5 linked regions of the Xenopus tropicalis genome follow. The protein of the gene in region 5 interacts with the protein of the main gene of each other region in a biochemical or structural test. Links are inferred from orthologs where the notes say so. Each region holds a gene or a part of one and is shown on either strand. Other genes may lie near its edges.

Region 1 (4,291 bases), on a different chromosome or scaffold from region 5:
ATTTCAATTGTTTTGTTTCATGGTTAAAGGAGAATAACCTCAAAATGCCCATCCCTCCCTCACTTATTGGTATTCGCCATGCTTCTTCATAATCACCTAACTTGCAAGGAGGTGTATTTCCCAGTGTTCCTACCTGCCAAGACAGAAATCACATGGGCAGCAAAACTCTGGGAATAGCCCCTTGTGCAATTCAGTTTTGCAAAATGTTTACCGTGTTCCATAATGAAGTGATGGATTTTGGGGTTTAAGGTCCCTCTGCTATCCAGATAATCTGTGCACAAGCCACTACGGAAAACAATGGAACCTCAAGCCTCAGAATACATCACTTTACAACGAAACAAGGTGAGGCAGGTATTGCATTACAGTTGGACCCTAAGGGGTTGAACACCAGCCAGTTATATCTGTGTAAAAAATATCTGTGTATGTATGTATATATATATATATATATATATTTTTTTTTATTTTTATTTTATTTTTTTTTTTTTTGGTAGTTCAGATAGTGTTTATGCACCATTTTTACATCAGCCCAACTGAAGGCGCTCATATAAAAAACATGGTATATTTTTCTTTAATGTAGTTTGTCTTCAATATGAAATATTGGGGTAGCAAAAGTTTTTTGCATTCTATAATTAGATGATACATTTGTTATTTCTCACTATTTGTGCTACTAGTAAAGTCTTAGCCTTTGCTAGTGTTGTGATCTACCAACAAAATAAAACCTACAGGCTAGTATACTCATTTATTCACATGAAAACTAACCCCTTTGCCGGGAAATTTACTTAATGCCATTTCTTTCTGAAACCATCGCCTTTTATGGACATAACAGCACTTAGCACCTTACTGGGAATCACAATAGCCCTAACGACCAGTTCTATGGTTGTTACTGAATACAATATTCATATTGTTTCCCTGCCAAACATATAAGCATTGATTTAATACTTTATTGACAAATGAAACCCCCTAAAGGCACAGACATGCTTTTTTCAACAACCCCCCACAGCAATAGAAGCAAATACTGACTACTAGTTCCACATTTGTTTAACCTATTCACTGGGTTAAGGGAACTAAACTTGCACTATCCCATACTTCCTAATCCCTGAGTGTAGTATAACGATACAAACTTCCTGCCCATTACCATACACAGCAGCTAATTATTTTTTGTTGAACGCCCTGAGACTGCTCACATAATGAAACACAATTAGAATAAATGTTGGACCACCCCCAGCCTGAAGCATGACCTATTTAGCGCTACCCGTACACGAATGGTCACTGCCCCACACTAATCTGTTATTGCCATTTTGCCCCTACACTTATGTCAATGTATTTATGTCAACTGTGCCCCTCTTCCTAAGCACAGATACAAAATGTCATTAACTGCTGACCTTGGTGCCGAGTTAACTATCCAAAAATACACAAACAGTGGTACTGACTGACTGCAACTGACAGTGACACTAACTTCCATCACACTTAAAATAAGGTTTAGCTGCAGAACTTCATTTTTTGCAAACATTCGATACACAATGGCACAATAAACACATGTTTGCAAGGAATGAAGTCCTGCACTTGAAACTTTTTTCAACATATAACATATATTACCCTGATGGTGGGGATAGAGCTATAACAAGACATTAGTATCAGTAAGGTTAATTGTTAGAAATTGCTACCACATGTGACACGTACATTCAGTGGCTTTGATTTCCCCACCAAAACACAGTGGGACCAGCAACAATTTTCCCATGATAAACACAATGGCCTTTTGCAAAGTGGGTGGCACAATATCATAGAGGTTAGCAATGGCCTTAAGTTAGACTGTGGCCAGGTCACTATGTGCAAGGGTTTCCTATGTTTTCTCTCTGCATAAGATTCCTTCTAGAGTTTAAAAACATATAGACAGGTTGTCTCATGATGACACTGACCACAGCATGCTGTAGGAATATGGTAAAGAAATGACAATCTCCATAAAAAGCTCTCTCTCTCTCTGATAAAGTAAATTAACTGCCTTGACTGATGATACCTATGCTGCCCTTATTACTGATAAAATGCAACTTTCGGAAGACACAGTGGCTCAGTTACTCACATACATGCTTGTTCTGACTACTGCCAAACTCAACACATAGTGGTGTGAATACTGCTTCTGATTTTTGCTCAAACACACAGTGGCACTATCTTTTACCCAAAAGCCAGGCAAATGCCAGAAACACAATCAAGCACTGTGGCACTTGTCTCAGAACCCAGTTTAAAGGTCCAAGTATTCTCCCCGCAGTCCACATGACACACGGCAGTGACACATCAGCAGCACCTGAGTAGCAGCACTGTCAGCCCTACAGCACAAACCACCGCCTTCCCACTGACACTTCTCGCCACCTCCCAATGATTCCCACTCCCCTCAGAGCTGACACTTTTCCTATAATCCCAAAGTGTCAGTAAATCGCGTGTAATCCCTCTCTCCAATCCCAGGGACATTCTGGCAGGAACACACGTCCCTGGGCCCTGCTAATGCACATTCCGCCACTGCTACTCTCGCTCATCTTCCAGAAAGCTCCGACCTGTCCAGTTCCACCTGGCTGCATTCATTCACTTTTCTCCCTCCTAGCTATCCCCCCTCAGACAAATACTGATGCCCGAACGCAGTCAGAGACGCAAACAGTCCCTACAGTGGGTTCGCTTGATACTTACGGTTCTCCCTGGGACTCTGGTTTCACAAGAAAGCCGTACCGGTCGGTCCTCCTTTCTGCTACATACCCGTTGATCTCGGAGTCTGAGCCCACAGACTCTAGTTCGGAGTCACTCAGAGTCTCCCTAGTACCTCGTAAACTGGCGGATGGGGACGCGTTGCCCTCCCCGGGGCTCCGCGCCATGTCGGCTCCACCGCTTCAACACCGCGGAGCCATCTGCTCTACCTAATCCCCCCGCCGCGCCTTACACTCGGTTCACCCCACAACAGCAGCAGCCGACACCTCTCGGGCCTCTCTGAGAAACCCAACCTTACAGACTACACGCAGCCAATCAGCAAAGACATCCTCCGACATGAGACCAATCCCGCGAACATCTCTTTCACCGGCCAATCAAAATTTGGAAAATAGTTGCGAGCAAAGTATTCGCTTGGAAAAAGCAAATCCCCAGCCCCTTGGCCACACGGAGCCAATCAGTAATTTGCCCCACCCATTATAGAATCTATGGTTAGGCAAGCTAACCAATGCTCTATTAATCTCTATGGAATGTCTCCTGTCAACAGAAGCTTCCAAACACTGAAAGTCTCAATCAGCCCTGGCCCGCCCAGTGGCGTGTATATCCTGTGGTAGCGCCGCCCACACCTACTTCTTTCAGAGCCCCCATAGCTTTGTGGCCAAGTAAATGCCGCTATGACTTGCTTACTAAGTACTACTAGGTGTTTGTAAGGTATTTGTGATTATTTTGGATTTACAGCTTTTAAGAACCCATTATTGTCTCTTTTACTGTGGGAACTGGAATATCCATCTTACCAGTTTACCCTTTACCTTGCATCTGGGAGTGCTATGCTTTTGCCACAAACTTTTCCTCATCTTAATTCTCTCAAGAATTCAGGGTTCATAAGATTCTCCAATGGCATGATCTATTATAGCTGGGAATATCTGAAATAAATTATTATTACAATAATGGTTTCCTTGCAGCAAAACTAAGTAACAGAACCAACAAAAGTTGGCCTAGGTGTGTTTTTTAAACATAAAATGCTTGCTGCAATATGCCAGTAAAGGTGTCCCTCAGCCAAACGCTCAGATGCAAAGATTGGATTGCTGTGCACTAGATCCTCTCCATACCGAGGTAAGTCACAAATTGGCCAACAAACAAAAGGTTTTGGTACAAACAAAAACTTGGTTTCAGACGCCATATGCAAGCTGCACATGAGGGATCAAGCTTTGGAGGATGACAGTGACAGGAGAAAGCCTACTGCTATGTCCAAAAATGAGATGGTGTACTTGGTGTCAGTCTTGGAAAGAAAAGACTGCAAGGAGGGAGAATATTTCTGGCCTAATACAAGGAAAAATATTATTTTGGACATGGGCATCAAAGGGCTACATAAAAAGTTTGGTGTTACAAGATCTTAAAGGTAATAAAAATATAATGTACTGTTGCCCTGCACTGGTAAAATTGGTGTGTTTGCTACAGTAACCCTACTATAATTTATATAATAAGCTGCTGTGTAGCCAATGGGGGCAGCCATTCAAGCTGGAAAAAAGGAGAAAAGGCACAGGTTACATAGCAGATAACAGATAAGTACTGTAAAATACAATAGTGTTTTAACTGTTATCTG
Region 2 (3,410 bases), on a different chromosome or scaffold from region 5:
TAGCTAAGTTGTAAATGTTTTGAAAGAAAAGAAGTGTAATTGGACCTTGGTAATATTATTATTATTTAAGTAGTGCTTTGATAAAACAGCTGCTAACCCCTACTGCTGACTACCATTTCACTTAAATAGGCGACACTAGTCAACACTAGTCAACTTGCATGGCCATTTAAGCACTTGAAAACATGATGGGCAGTGTTCAAGCACCAGTACTGTGGGACCTACTGTGCTTCTGTTTCAAATTAACAGGAAAAAGACCTTTGGTTGGTAGAAGCTCTTTTCCTATATACAATCTGCCTTGTGTTCCATAGCTCCTAGAGGCAATGGCTGCTCTCTCTATAGCTTCCAGGAACTTGCTAGGACCCACCCATCACTCAAAGTTATTTTAAAATTACTTACAAAAATGTTGTGTACACAGACTCCAAGGGAACCTTGCCTTGAAGATGAGGCTATTGTACATGAAGGGGGTCCAGTAAACAAAGTAAAGTTCTACCAGTCTCCAGGAGCAAGTCTTGTGTTACCCACCAAATAAGAAGCAGTTTTTCCCTGGAAATAAATTTCATAATTTGGCACCTTTGATATTGGTATTTCTAGCTCTGGTATTGGAGTCTTGTATATCTGGCACTAATAATGTATTAACGCATTGTTTTTTGTAAATGGAAACATGAGGGCCAACGTATTTTTTCTTTGTGCATGATTGCCTATTTCTGTATGGCACTGTACTTTATTTTCTTATCAGGCACTGCATTCATAGCAGGGAAATGGGTGCTGCAGCATACACCAGAAATTTAATGATGAGATCCCTCCATGGGTAGGCTGTTGGAGGTGGCGTTAATGAGATATTACATGATTGACTAGCTTTAGGTAAAGATTTTCCAAGCCTGAGACAGCTTAAAATATCAAGTAAAGGTAGAATATCTTTCTATAGGGTCTACCTTTAGTGCTGGAAAAAAAGATGCATAGAAAATATACGTAAATGTATACGTAGCATAGGTTATTCATTAAGCAACATATTTGCCTTTTGGTGGGAAAAAAAACTAAAACGAGTTGCTTAGAAAAAAATAGAGGATAAACCGTTCTACAAGCCGATTTGGGGATAATTGCTGCTCCACCTACTGCTTTGCTTCATTTGACTGCCATTTGGTTGAGGTCCATTATTGTATCAGCGTGGCTGCTCCAATTTATATTCAGTTGGACAGTGTTTCCCTTTTTTTCTGGCTTGTAGGTCGGTTTTGATTAGTCCTTTCTCAGAAATGACTGTATTTTTTAAATTGTTAAGATGGTCCATTTCTTTAATCAGTGTGTGAGAAGCAACAATATCTGTTTAGAGTTGTGCAAGTTGATTGGTTCTAGGAGTTCATCCTCTGTGCAATATTTCCAAGTATTTGCGCAAATACTGAACTTTCCCTTCCCAAGCGTAAGGAGGGCACATGGACTACATGACTCACACATACTGTATACGGCAAGAGCTGATTTCAAAATATTGCACATAGATAAATGTCAAATGTGTGTAGAATATTCTTTTCTTCATAATATAGTTATTTTTGCAGTTTTTTTTAAACAAAAACACTAGTACCTTGCAGTTCATACCTTTTCATATTTACAAAACCATCCTTCCTTCCCAATAAAGGTGCTCTGTAGACATTTGCTGAGCAAGCAATAATATTTCTGTAGATGGTAGCTTTGCTCCAATACAAAGTGCATTTCTTTGGTCTTATCATTTCTGTTTGACTCTTTGGCATAATGCTGAAATACTCTCAATTGTCTTTATCTGAGAATGATCAGTTCAAAAGTATCCACCGGCTACAGAAAACTCTCCTCTATGTCCTGCTGTTGACACTCTTGACATGGGTCATGTTCTAAATCCTGATCTGGCTGCTCCAAGGGGCTGTCACAGGAAATCGTAGATGAAGTATTGCCTTCCTGTAGTGTAGAGCTGGGAAGAAACAATATAAAAAGTATGTTAGCTTTAAAAGTTTTTTAGAAATCTAACCAGGAAAGTACCAAATCCACAGTTTTTGCATTTGCCTTACAGAATCCTTCACAAATGTTTTAGCCAAATTCTGAACCAAGTACAAGTCCAAATTTGTATAGTTGGATTTAAGGAAATTGTTTAAAAATTGCATCAACTGTGAATGGAAAATGATTGTGTTCAGGAGTCCAGAGCTTAATTCATATTGGTGAGAGGGGCATTTGCACTCCTTAGTGCTCTAGCACTTGTTTCCCAGCTAGTTTTAAATCAGCTTTTCAATGTATTTGTGCCTGAAGAAGCAGAGTCATTTCAGAAAATATATTTGTGTTTAATTTTGAAAAAGTAATTGTCACACTTGTGCCAATCTTTTTCATTCTCAATGGAACACTTATGTGTCATGTAAAGCCAGCAAGATATAAGAAAACTTAGAAATGTAAGAAATGTAAAGGAAATAACTTCATAAAAGCAGCCATACACATGATCTATATGTGGGTCTACTTGTCAGATCCCCTACAAGAGGCCACAGTATGGATTCTATATCCATATTATCTAGATATCTGTTGAGGCAACTTCATTTTTAATTTTTTTTTTTTAAATATTTACTTTTTCATTGTGTAACTGTTATGCTTGGAGTTTTAACTGCTATCTGGTTGGTAGGGCCTAAATATCCTAGCCACCAGGCAGCTTTTTTGGAGTCTAAATGTAAGATTAGTAGAAGAGGATCTAACTAGAAATACTGTATAACCAATACAAATAGTACAGCATATTCTACAGTATATGGATAAATTGGAAGCCATGTATTTGACCTGGTATTTGGTTGTTTGGCCAGTGACCCTGACATCTATATAGTATTTTCAGCTGAAGGCCAGAAAAACACAGAATAAGAAGGCAAACTGAACATGAACACATAAGAAAAACAAAACGTAAGACAGTATGAAACGTTTCCTAGAATAAGTCAAACAGAATAAAGGTCTATTTAATGGTACTATGCTAAAAGCCAAGACTAGAGAAGCAATTGTCAAATCCAATAATGTGTTCTTTAATACATTATATTTACATTGTAGAATACAATCATACATTAGAAAATGATGACAGAACTATTTGTTGTAATCAGGAAACTATATTTCCCCTTTTGTGGAGACATGATTCACTGAGGGCTTTAAACATCCCACATGTATACAGGAGTGGTCCCCAACCAGTGGCTCAGGAGCAACATGTTACTCACCACCCCTTGGATGTTGCACCCAGTGGCCTCAAAGCAGGTGCCTATTTTTAAATTTATGGCTTGGAGGCAAGTTTTGGAGGCATTAAGACCATGTATACTGCCAAACAAAACCTCCTGTAGGCTGCCAGTCCACATAGGGGTTACAAATAACCCAACAAAAAGTTGGGGACCCCTGGTATATAATAAGCACATGAGGTATCCTTGCCAAGTAAGAAT
Region 3 (3,652 bases), on a different chromosome or scaffold from region 5:
TGAAATTTAAGGGTGTGGGTACACAGGCCATTGCAAAAGTTTTAAAAGGTAGAATGTTCAATAACCAAAACACAATGAATGTGTGATCACAATAACATTGTAGCAAAGACATCTCCTTAGGTGCATTTGCTCTTTCAGAAACTCAGAATCTCAGCTCATAGCAAATTCCTACCCACAGTGGTGATATTAGCACAAGACTAAGGGGCTGATTTACTAACCCACGAATCCGACCCGAATTGGAAAAGTTCCGACTTGAAAACGAATATTTTGCGACTTTTTCGTATGTTTTGCGATTTTTTCGGATTCTGTACGAATTTTTCGGATCCAATACGATTTTTGCGTAAAAACGCGAGTTTTTCGTATCCATTACGAAAGTTGCGTAAAAAGTTGCGCAATTTGCGTAGCGTTAAAACTTACGCGAAAAGTTGCGCATTTTTCGCGTAAGTTTTAACGCTACGCAAAATGCGCAACTTTTTACGCAACTTTCGTAATGGATAGGAAAACTCGCGTTTTTACGCAAAAATCGTATTGGATCCGAAAAATTCGTAAAGAATCCGAAAAAATCGCAAAACATACGAAAAAATCGCAAAGTACCGATCATTACGAAAAAAACGCAATCGGACTCCATTCGACCCGTTCGTGGGTAAGTAAATCAGCCCCTTAAACTGTGGCACAGTTGACTTTAACAAAAATACATGTATCATTTTCAAGATTTATTTTTTTTTTGTCACATAAAAAAAAACCCAAGGCGTATAACTGTCTCTAACAAGATATTTTTATATCGAGGATGATCTAAACATTGGTGTAAGTGTAGTCATTGTAGACACTTGACTGTGGGACATATTAGAGTTCTGAGAGCTGTAGAAGACATTATAACCCTATAAAAAACTTTGATGTCACTGATCTCTTCTTGGTCAGTGTGGGCTTGGTTAGTGTAAGAATCTAGCCAATCATTTGGTTGCCCTGTCAGATAGTCAAAAGAAGAACAAAAGGTTTATAAAAAAAAGTCCCCCTTTTTATTGGTAGGATTAGCAATTTACTTATTAGCACTCCCCAGAGAGAAATGGTAATGAAAGATTAAATATTAAAACAGATACTATTCAATATATTGCATAAATTGCCTTAAAGAGATACTGACACCAGAACTGAAACCTTTTTTACATCATAAAACTGTCTTTGCATGAGCTTTATAATTTCACCATAAAAGTAATTCCTAAAGCTTTTACATTCTCTATCTGATCCCCCATGTTCCTCTATGAGGAGAAGCTATAACTTACAGGCTGAGAAGGGACAGTCAGGTTGGCAAAACAGTCAGGTTTTGGAACTTCAAGTAGCAATGGCTTATAAAAGCAATCCTATCAACAAAAAATGATCAACATGACCTATAGGTAACTTTTTATGTAGATTCATAATTGAAAAAGTAGTCTTTTTTGTCAGTATCACTTTAATAGCGAGGAAAGACTTTTGTAAATATTTTTCAAAATTAGAAATCAGAAATATGTTTTTTACCTCAGCTAAAAATATCACTATACAAAATACAAGAATAAAAATGAAATTCTTGTGAGCTGTAAGGAATCTTATATATGTGTTCCATGTGGTAGTTGGTGATGGGCTGTCTGTATCATCCAGGAAACATTCCTGCAAAGTGAGAGACAAAGCCTGTTAGAACCAATGTCAAGGCCAACTGCACATTAATGTGGATGAAAATACCTGCATTCCTTGACATGTTAAAGGGGCTTTAGGGGTGCACCAAATACCAGTACCTCTTCTACAATTCCCATAAGATAGGGTAACGTAGGAGGGTATAGTTTATAGCCAATACAGTTAAATATTACTGGTCTATCCTGACTACAAGATGCACCATGAAGGAAATGAATAGAGGAAAGCAACTATGAAGACTCTTTACACATATCTTGAGGTATTTTTCATTCTAATATAAAAGGTTGGCATTCTACTCCTTCTCTCTCTCTCTCCTTGAGACTATAGGCCCAAAGTGGTCCTAAAGCTAAGAAGGAGCTTTTAAGAATAGATGAATGAGAAAAAATATTAACTTTTTACAAAATTGTAAAAATAAAATATGTGTCTGTCACATATAGATAACGCTGGTGCATAATGGTCTGAAACTTGACCTATGATCCCTAAAGTTGATCTTCCATACGAAGTTTATCATATGTACTATTGCATTTTTAACATTAGTAACAAAATAGTTTTAATTTGCCTTTTTTTAATCAGGTGCGTATTTTATCACCAACACATTTAACATTCTGATTAAGAATGAAAATATTAAAACTGACAGTGAATCCTTACACGCTATGCTTTCATATTCAAAAAAGTTTACCTTCAAATCTTCTTCATTGATTTCTTCACTAACTTCCAAAATACTGTCTTGTGAAAGTCGTCTGTTATATATATCCACTTCAAAAGATGAGTTGGAGAAAGAACCTACAGACATTTTACGAACAGATGTATTTCTTGTTGCAAAGGCATTGGAACCTTGAGAAACAGAGGTGCGAGTCATTAGATTTAGTACAGACTGTCTCCTGCGGCCTTGAAATGTAGGACCTGTATTAAGAACATTGCTTCTAGGCAGGCTGGCTTCTCCCTGTTCTGATTCAGGAACTAATGAAAGCTTTCGTTCTCCTTGATTAGGGGGAATATCTTCCTCTTCTATTCCACTCATCTGTGGCTGACTTTTTTGCATGATAGAAAATTTTCTGCTGGATTTCCGAGGATTAATAACAGAGTTCTTTCTTTTTTCACTGAAATCTGCAACCTGCTTAAATGACTTATTCTTGACTTCATTCCTAACAGCTGTTGGATCGCTATCAATGGAGCATCTTCTCAGGGTTTCAGTTATTATAGAGTTTCTTCTTTCTGCATTAAAGTGATCAAATCCGGTCAGATGAGAGCTGAACTCAGGACGTTGATCTTGAAGTTCAGAAAATGTTCCATAGAAATAACAGCTTCCTTCATGCAAAATCAGCACTTTGTCAGCTTTTTTAAGCTGTTCAACTTTAGATGTAACTAAAATCCTTGTTTTATTAGCCATTAGCTTGCAAACACAACTAAAAATCAAAATAAACCGTCATTACCAATTATTAGCTTAACAGTAATATGCCAGATAAAACAAATATATAATTTGGATTTTTGCCATGGTACAGTCTTGTTTACAAGGTAAGTACAATATTTGATCAATGATAAAGTAAAACTAACTTTGATATGTCTCAGTTTAAACGTAAAAATCAATAGTTGCTGATAAATAAGCACATTTCTCTATAATAAATACATACTATATATATATATATAGCTAAATGGCTTGTTTTTTTTATTTAACTATTAAACAACATTCTGTTACTCTAGCCAGTAATAGCAAAAGGAAAGTCTTACTGCAAGTTCTGGCTAATGGAAAACTTTAGTATTCTTATCTCTATGAAAATCAATTACTCAGCATTTTAAAATACTTTGCACTGATTATTTATTCTGTGCCACCCAATTTTTTAACCATCTAATCAATATGCAGCACTAATTTAAATCATCATAAAGCAAATCAATCCTGTTTATATGTGCTTATATAAAGCTGATTACATACCTTTCAAATATTTCTTTTTCTGTAAACAAGTCTAAATAACTGAATGGAGAATCCATCAAGTAG
Region 4 (4,401 bases), on a different chromosome or scaffold from region 5:
ATGCAATTCACCAAATACTTTTACAACACACATAAAGACCCAAACTGGTCATTTAAAGAAGAACTGGTAATGCCATTTTTCTGCTTTTTAAAGACACTGTTAAATAAGTTTTGGGACATTAGTGATATTGACACAGAAGAAGCTGATTACAACAACTGAACAGTTGATCCTGATTTCAAAATGATTTTTGAAAAATATTAGCACAGACAATAATGAGTCGGACTTACCGGTTTTGGCATTTTCAGTTATGCGTCTACTCCTTTCACCTTGTAGTAATAATGATATAAAGTCTGTCTTGCTTAGCGCCAGTCCTGAAAATTGCAAATTGGTAAAGGGGATAAATGATAAAAGTAAGAACTAATTGCCTATAGCCCTAAATGGCTACTGAATCTCTTCCCTGCCTACTTAGATATTCTTCTTAGACCTATGAATCAGTAATAAAATTAGTCATCCAACTAAACCTAAAAAGTTTCAGGTGAAAGAAAGCCCATCTGCAACATGGAAAATACTGTCATTCTCCCAAACCTAAAAACCCAAACATATATTAATGTGGTGCCTCATACAGAAGTATTTAGCTACATGAGAAGGACGTAGGGGTGAGGATGCTGGGGAGAAACAGGGATGTGTTGGAATGCTGTAAACATCTTCCAGCTTTATTTCTGATGAATGCGAGTTGTAATGAACCTGTTAGTTCACTGTTTTTCCACAGACACTTGCTACTGCTGACTGATAATTAAAACAGACAGGAAATTAAGTACACTAATGCTTTAAAAGTTCGATGAGCCATGTATCTCAGAGAAATCTGGTTCTACTACATTTATTTCATAACTGTAACGCTATAATTAGGGCTGAATGAGTCTCTTTATAAATGCAGCCCACCATGTCCTTGTGATGCAATGATTTTCAATAGAGAAGGTGAGTCTAGTATTTAGCAGTGGAAGCTGAATTAGCTGCAGGCGGCCCCACCTTTACCTTGGCTAAGCTTATAACTTGTTCTCCAAGTTTGTACAACTTCCTTTAAAATGTCTTGTGAACTACAAGTCCTCTGTTTTCCCCGGCTCACAAAGCATGATATTCTGTGCCTTGAATGAGGATTTTGTGTGTGATAAATGACTGAAATATGGCATATTAGGGTGTCAATTCTTTGTTGCTTATTGATGTGGCTCATCTGAAATCACATTTGGCATACATGCCTGACCTTTGGTAACTAACTTCTATCTCATCTCAGGATAAAACTTTAGGCTAAGATTAACTAGACTGTACTACATATTGCATGAAACTGAAAAACTGAAAAGCCTTTATGTCAGTGTACACATCATTACCACATTTGTGCTCAAACATTATTCCCAAGAGTTCAACACTAAAATGCCCAAGGGGACATTATTATTATGTAATAATCATAAAATAAAGCTGCCCCTTTATTACCAAGTAAATTCAAACACAAGGATACTGTATATAACGAACAATGTAATATAAGAGTTAATGAATACATATAAAATGCTGCAGGTGTTTCCTTCTCATGTCCAGCTGTATAATACCTGTTGCAGGGACAATAAGGTTTATAGGACAGCCACAATTGGCCCGAGCAGCATCAGCAAATAAATCCTGTGTGTCTCAATGCACAAGCTGAGTTAAAGTGAAAGGGAACTGGCTGTATAACCTTATGTATAATTCATGTAAAGCACTAACAACCATGCTATCTGTGCACACAGATATATATATATTTTTTTTAATCCCTGCCCCTAAAGCTTACTCTAAATTTACAGGGGATACAGTTTCCTATTCCATATCAAAGAACATATCAGGTCCTTAGGAACTCATCTGATTTTCCTGTACTTATGGCACCAGTTCCAGGAACTATGTATATATTATGCAGATTACATTGTGCTTTCAAAAAAAATGTCCCTCAAGCTATTGTTGAACTACAGCACTCAAAAACTAACCCTAGCAGGAGTGAGAACTTTCTAAATTTTCACATAATAGGGTGGTAAATGTTCTTCTTTAAAATAATAACTTCTGATATAAGAAAAGCAAACTGATATGATGGCCCATAACCACGCTATATGGGTTAAATAAAAAAGTGAATGTAGAATGTTGGGCAGCCATTGCCTTATATAAGTTTAATGATTAATAAATGTCTTATATTAAGAGATTTATGAACAGAAGGAAAGCTGGCAAATAAGAACATAACTGCCAATCAATGAACAGAGCTGCAAATCAATGAGAAGACTGACCCAGAATATAGCAGAAATTACGGTACATGATACAGAAATCACAAAATATACCTTCTAATAAAGAAACTAATTCAGGGTGTTTTACTCTGTAATTTGGTAAGTTGCCTTAGTGAGGCAGTCACAGGTAATCATGTTCCTCCATTTACAGCACAACAATGCACAGTCACAGACATGCAGCCAGACTCACAGTCTCGCTCTTATACACACAGAAAGAAGTAGATTCAGTCCCACTCCCTCAATACTGGAGCAGACCCATTTTGTAATACTTTGAAACATTCATTTGACCAGGCTGTGATGAAAAGAAACAAAGTAACAAAGCAGTTACTGCTTTCAAAGACACCTGCAATATTATCAGAAGAGAATCAGCGAACTAGTAGTTTCTGTGTTCTTGAACACTATCATGGGGATAAGGGACATTTGCTTTTGCCCTGCTTAACTGAAAAAACTCCATTACCATTGCCTCCTGTGGACGTCTATGTGAGGAGCTAATCCTGTAAACACCTGTTGCCAGTCTGTTCCCTTTATAATTCACAGAAAACACAGGGTGCTCAGAGAAACTTATCCTAAGCTGTAATACACAAAAATAACCTAGAATCAAGCATGTGCTACTTACTCTTTCCTCCTGTACACAACCAGCTGTACCTTCTTTTTGCTGCTCTCTCCCTGGGCTCTCCTGTTCTCCCCACTGGCTGCAATATGGCTGAACTGCCAACTTTGTCCCACAGGTCCCTCCTTCTTGCCACTCCCTCTCTTGTGAAACTCTCTGCCTACCTGCCTCTCCCCTGCTGCCAGCATATGCACTCGGCTGTTGCCTGAGCTGGGAGGGGGAACATCCTAGAGTAAAGTACAGGAGAAGATATAAATACAACAAGATGCTCTGTATCATAACAGGTATAGAGGGGCGCAAACTGTTAGGGGTTGATTCACTAAAGTGTGATAATGCTTAGCGCATGCTTTTTTGCATTAAAAAGCACATGATAAATAGGTACCGATTCATCAAAGTAATTTCGCATGCATTAAAACGCATATCGCATGCGCAAAAAAACGCTATTTAATGTTATTTACCTTGCATTGCGTTAATTCTCGCATACATATAATACTAACGCATGATTCACAAACACATATGAAGCGTTAAATGTGCTAAATATCGCATTAGTCTGTGCGAAAATTAACACCTACTTGGGGCAGGCAGTACTTAAAGAAAATTGTGGTTCATGAGCTTTTGGCAACACAACATGGACTTTGCAGTGGGATTTTTTCAAGTATGTATTACATATGTTAAATCGTGCACTAATATCGCACGTGGTCATATATATTGTGTGCAGCGGGAAATAATGCACGTGGCGGGAAATAACGCAAGAAAAATGCTCATCGCAAGTTAACGCAAAGAACATCTCGTCTAAATTATGACGCCTGTCCTTTTAGTGAATCATGCATTGTCGCAAAAAATAAGAAGCGATAAAATTTTTAACGCATGCTATATAATTTTAACGCACTTTAGTGAATTGGTCCCATAGTGTGATTCTGTAAAATTTTTATAATATCAAAGTCAATTTTTTTTACAGACAAGCATTCAAAAGCAATTCACAATTCTTGTACGTGTTACTTGGGTGAAAAGTGCTTATCATATGTGGCACTTCAATTGCAAAGTCACAAGAAAAACAAAGTGCCACATATGTGTTCCCACTGGCGATTCACTTTATTTCTGGTTTAAAAACATTTTGGGAAGCTTTGTCACCCATGGTAGCCCAAATTTAATAAATATCCCTGTGTTCCATTAGCTTGAGGGAAACACTTACCAGTGGGAAGAGCTGTTGTAACAAGCACTAGCATGGCTTAGAAGGACCCAACAGGAATATGAAGTGGGCCACAAATAAAATTGCACTGCAATAAATAAAGGGCATGATTACCATAATTTCAGTGTATATACTAGATATATATATATATATATATATATATATATATATATATATATATATATATATATAAGGAAGTGGAGCACACCCTATAAAGGCTCAAATGCCCTGGGTGCTGGCAAAATGAGGAAATATAAGGACAGAGAGCCGCACGCACAAGGATTTAGCAATTAGTGAAAAAATGTATTTGAAAAAATCCAACGTTTCGAGTACTGACTGTACTCTTCTTCAGGGACAAACCACTTTGTCCC
Region 5 (4,370 bases):
CACCCAAGGGGTTGGGGAGCAACATGTTGCCCCAAGCCACTGGTTGGGGATCATTGGTCTAGATAAAGTGGGCATTACTCAGAAACATATGTCAGTTCTACTTGGAGGAGGAGGGGGGGGGTTCTGATTGGTACATAGGCTGGTAATTGATGCCAATCCAGGATAATGGCACAGCTCCACCACCACCAACACATAGGGTACTATATACCCTTCTCTATAGAAAGAATTAAATACCCAAGTCTAGGATTCATGCCAGGCAACTGAGGCACTCAGGTACCCAGCTGAAGCTGCCACACCAGACTGGAGCGGTGCCATGCCAGGGCTGTCTTTAGTGCTGGCAAGGCCCAGGGGCAAAAAGCTTGTTGAGCTGCAACTGACTTTGTATCTAGAATAGTTGTGCCGAGACAGCCGAGCCTCTGTTATAAAGTCCCTTCCTAGAAGCCTTTCCTGGAACTTATACCCTGTGGGGTCCCGATTACTCTCTGGCCCATAGTTTGCTTCCCACTAATGACAGCGGCATCCATCATCAGCTTGGCTGCCGTGTGTGGCCGATCCACTAAACGGAGAATAGCGTACCCCCAATTGTAAATTATAAGGATATTAAAAGTTAAAGAGATCCATATAAGGCAGGTGTCCCAAACCTTTTTTACCTGTGAGCCACATTCAAATGTAAAAAGACTTGGGGAGCAACACGAGCATGAAACCTGTTCCTAGGGGTGCCAAATAAGGGCTGTGATTGGCTATTTGGTAGCCCCTATATGGACTGGCAGCTTACAGGAGGCTCTGTTTGGCAGTACACCTGTTTTTTATGCCTCCAAAACTTGCCCCCAAGCCAGGAATTCAAAAATAAGCCCCTGTTTGAAGGCCACTGGGAGCAACATCCAAGGGGTTGGGGAGCAACAAGTTGCCCCTGAGCCACTGGTTGAGGATCACTGATATAAGGACATGAGGTCAATGGTTGTTGGCATTCCATGACCAGTCTAAAACCACAAGGCGTTCTATTGGTCATGGAACAAATGGTGACTTCTAATATCATATTATATAATAGTGGTACGGTTTTTATAGACACAGTGAGTCATATGACAAATTACATCATTAAAATTAAAGATAACTGATGACATCACTATGCACCACGTAGAAGAACCCATTTTACAGGAAATCATGGCTCTTTGATTATATCTTTATAATTTACAGTTTGATCACTCCCCTATGGGATCCTTATAAACGGTGCCTAGTGATGTCATCAGTTATAATCAGAGCTCAGTGATGTAATTTCTGTCACACAAATCACTAAAACTTGGATATTATAATAAAGTGCCCCCTGTTGTAAAATATGAGGATATTACAAGTCAGCCTTCAGCTCATGCTTTTATATAGTAAAGGAACTCCTCTGTGACTTATAATATCCTTATATTTTACAATAGGGGGGTACATTATTCACTATATATTATAAGGAACTCCTCTGTGACTTATAATATCCCTATATGTTCCAATAGGGGGTACATTATTCACTATATATTATAAGGAACCCCTCTGTGACTTATAAAATCCCTATATGTTACAATAGGGGGCACTTTATTCACTATATATTATAAGGAACCCCTCTGTGACTTATAAAATCCCTATATGTTACAATAGGGGGTACTTTATTCACTATATAAGGAACTCCTCTGTGACTTATAATATCCCTATATGTTACAATAGGGGGCACTTTATTCACTATATATTATAAGGAACCCCTCTGTGACTTATAAAATCCCTATATGTTACAATAGGGGGTACTTTATTCACTATATAAGGAACTCCTCTGTGACTTATAATATCCCTATATGTTCCAATAGGGGGTACATTATTCACTATATATTATAAGGAACCCCTCTGTGACTTATAAAATCCCTATATGTTACAATAGGGGGTACTTTATTCACCATATATTATAAGGAACCCCTCTGTGACTTATAATATCCCTATGTTACAATAGGGGGGACTTTATTCACTATATATTATAAGGAACCCCTCTGTGACTTATAATATCCCTATATGTTACAATAGGGGGTACTTTATTCACTATATATTATAAGGAACTCCTCAGGGGCTTATAAAATCCATATATGTTACAATAGGGGGTACTTTATTCACTATATATTATAAGGAACTCCTCAGGGACTTATAATATCCCTATATGTTACAATAGGGGGTACTTTAGTCACTATATATTATAAGGAACTCCTCTCTGACTTATAATATCCTTATATTTTACAATAGGGGGTACATTATCCACTATGCAAACACAAGTTCAGCATTAGAAACTCTAGCAAGAGCAGTATATACCCTGGCACTGCATGGCATCACTTAGCAGGGGTAGGATACTACGTATAAAGCCAGCAAACTGCCCCGACCCCCCCATACTGAAGGGGAAGCTATTATCAGCAGGACTCCAGTAGGCAAGTCATGTGACCAGGTGCAGTGGGCTCGCCAGGCTGCCCCCATAATTCGCTCTGAGCCGAGTACCTTGTTTTCTTCTTTAGGGGAGCTGGGGGCCACCTCCTCCTCTACTCCCTGTACCTCCAAGGTGAGTTTCTCAGTCGCTGCCCGGATTTTGCTCACCACCTGCTGGTGCCCGAGTTCCCTCACATCCTCCCCGCACACCCGGATGAGCCGGTCCCCTGCCCTCAGTCCTGCTTTCTCAGCTGCTGAGCCAGGCTCCACCAGCCTCACATACTGGCCCGGCCGGGTCTTCTCACTGTGCAGATGAAACCCGTAGCCCGAATCCCCCTTTTCCAACACGCACACCCGCTCCGAAGCCATATCGAGCCGCTACTCTGCGCCTGACTGAACTCAGGCTCTGCCAGCTTATAGATTATATAGCGAAAGGGAGGGCGCGGCGGTGACAAATATGAGAGATGTCCAATAAGAGGGCGGGGACAGTATTGCCGAGGGACGTGATTGGAGGAGAAAGTTCAGAGAGAGGCGCGCCTATTCCAATGAGCTTACGCGGGATTCGGGCCCTCAGAGTAAAGTTTAATCAGTGCCGCCGAGTCATGTGACCCGGGGAATATAATACGGCCCATAGGCACAGGTGGCATCTTTACATGTCTGCTGTCAGTGAAACCACTTTAATGGGTCATTTGACATCCAAGCAGCATCTATAAACCTGTACATAGACTGACCCAACTGAGTATGACAGAACATAGAGTATTATTGCAGCACCTCAGGCAGCAGGGTGGAGCTGTGCCAGTGAGGGGAGGGGTGGGGGGGTTGATGATGGCAGCAGTGTTTATAATAGTGAGCAATTAGTGCATTCAGCATGGGGACTTTGCACTGGAGATTAATGAGCAGCTTGAGGCATCCAAAGAATGTGAGAGGAGGGAGCAGTACAACTCCCCAGTACCCTGGCATGCACCTGCCCCTCGCCTCATACAGCTCCTCAGGCACTGCCCCTCACTGAGGCTACCATTATTGTGCTGTTTAGCTCAGTGTTATTTGCTCACCGGGGTGCCATTCTAGAGAGCTGTGCATGACACAATATATATGCTGAATTCGGAAGCGGCAGAGGTGCGCACTGGGACCCCAGGGGCCCACCAGAGAACCTAAGACCATGGGCCCATTCTCCAAAATATCCTCCTTTCTTCACAACCATTTTATTCTCCTAGTCTGTTTTATTTACATGCTAGCATCTATTCTTCCATCTATTCCTTCTCTTTCTTCCCATTCAGAAATAGGGAATGACCATGAAACAGGCCAAATGGTCAGGAGCAGGAAGGCCCACTGACCCCTGGGCCCAGCGGGAGTTTTCCTGGTATCATGGTTGGCTGGTCCAACACTGGGTGCCAGGGTCGGACTGGGCCGCCCTAGTGGGCCCAGTCCGACCTTTGCCGGCGCTCCCCCTACTGACTGTTCCTCCCCTGACGCGTTCAATTTATACGCGCTCGGGGAGGACGTCAGGCGGGGGGGTTAGGGGGGCCCCTGGGGGGGTTAGGGGACGCGGCTGGGGCACTTGCAGGGCCCCTGGGGCGGGAGCCCCGGTGGGCCCTGCACCCCCCAGTCCAACCCTGCTGGGTGTGCAGCACATGGGGTCCCCCTAGAACGCCCCTCGGTTAGAACCACACAAGTCAGGGTGCACTAGGAGAACCAGTGGGTTAACTATAGGGGAATCCCTCCCCCACCCAGCTGTGATGCCCTGTTCCCCATGAGTTTGGTTGGTGGTGGGTTCTGTGAATGATGGGGGAGCCAGGCATCCAGAGTAGCACCCCTGTAGCGAGCCCCATATTAAAGCCCACTTGTGGATCCCTTTTGCCTGTGTGAGCTGCTGAATTTTTAATATGTCTCCAAGTGCAAATATTATTACCGCATAGACAAGTCCTCCATGT

What was found.
Region 1: the proteins of slc9a3r1 (region 5) and tbc1d10a form a complex in vitro, tested with the Homo sapiens proteins (2 studies listed by BioGRID and IntAct). The link is inferred for Xenopus tropicalis from reciprocal best matches to the Homo sapiens genes NHERF1 and TBC1D10A.
Region 2: the proteins of slc9a3r1 (region 5) and pdgfrb form a complex in vitro, tested with the Homo sapiens proteins (2 studies listed by BioGRID and IntAct, with this or other methods). The link is inferred for Xenopus tropicalis from reciprocal best matches to the Homo sapiens genes NHERF1 and PDGFRB.
Region 3: the proteins of slc9a3r1 (region 5) and cftr form a complex in vitro, tested with the Homo sapiens proteins (9 studies listed by BioGRID and IntAct, with this or other methods). The link is inferred for Xenopus tropicalis from reciprocal best matches to the Homo sapiens genes NHERF1 and CFTR.
Region 4: the proteins of slc9a3r1 (region 5) and ezr form a complex in vitro, tested with the Homo sapiens proteins (2 studies listed by BioGRID and IntAct). The link is inferred for Xenopus tropicalis from reciprocal best matches to the Homo sapiens genes NHERF1 and EZR.

Annotation. Positions count from the first base shown.
Region 1 is NC_030677.2:144,359,091-144,363,381, reverse strand, and holds the start of tbc1d10a (TBC1 domain family member 10A), read right to left. Parts: upstream 2,886-4,291; 5' UTR 2,859-2,885; coding exon 2,677-2,858; intron 1-2,676.
Region 2 is NC_030679.2:21,261,388-21,264,797, reverse strand, and holds the end of pdgfrb (platelet-derived growth factor receptor beta), read right to left. Parts: intron 1,934-3,410; coding exon 1,801-1,933; 3' UTR 612-1,800; downstream 1-611. UniProt on the Homo sapiens protein: Tyrosine-protein kinase that acts as a cell-surface receptor for homodimeric PDGFB and PDGFD and for heterodimers formed by PDGFA and PDGFB, and plays an essential role in the regulation of embryonic development, cell proliferation, survival, differentiation, chemotaxis and migration.
Region 3 is NC_030679.2:68,543,565-68,547,216, reverse strand, and holds part of cftr (cystic fibrosis transmembrane conductance regulator), read right to left. Parts: coding exon 3,590-3,652; intron 3,066-3,589; coding exon 2,339-3,065; intron 1,639-2,338; coding exon 1,510-1,638; intron 1-1,509. UniProt on the Homo sapiens protein: Epithelial ion channel that plays an important role in the regulation of epithelial ion and water transport and fluid homeostasis. Mediates the transport of chloride ions across the cell membrane.
Region 4 is NC_030681.2:64,259,973-64,264,373, forward strand, and holds the start of ezr (ezrin), read right to left. Parts: upstream 2,929-4,401; 5' UTR 2,848-2,928; intron 312-2,847; 5' UTR 240-311; coding exon 228-239; intron 1-227. UniProt on the Homo sapiens protein: Probably involved in connections of major cytoskeletal structures to the plasma membrane. In epithelial cells, required for the formation of microvilli and membrane ruffles on the apical pole. Along with PLEKHG6, required for normal macropinocytosis.
Region 5 is NC_030686.2:43,958,909-43,963,278, reverse strand, and holds the start of slc9a3r1 (Na(+)/H(+) exchange regulatory cofactor NHE-RF1), read right to left. Parts: upstream 2,828-4,370; 5' UTR 2,809-2,827; coding exon 2,512-2,808; intron 1-2,511. UniProt on the Homo sapiens protein: Scaffold protein that connects plasma membrane proteins with members of the ezrin/moesin/radixin family and thereby helps to link them to the actin cytoskeleton and to regulate their surface expression. Necessary for recycling of internalized ADRB2.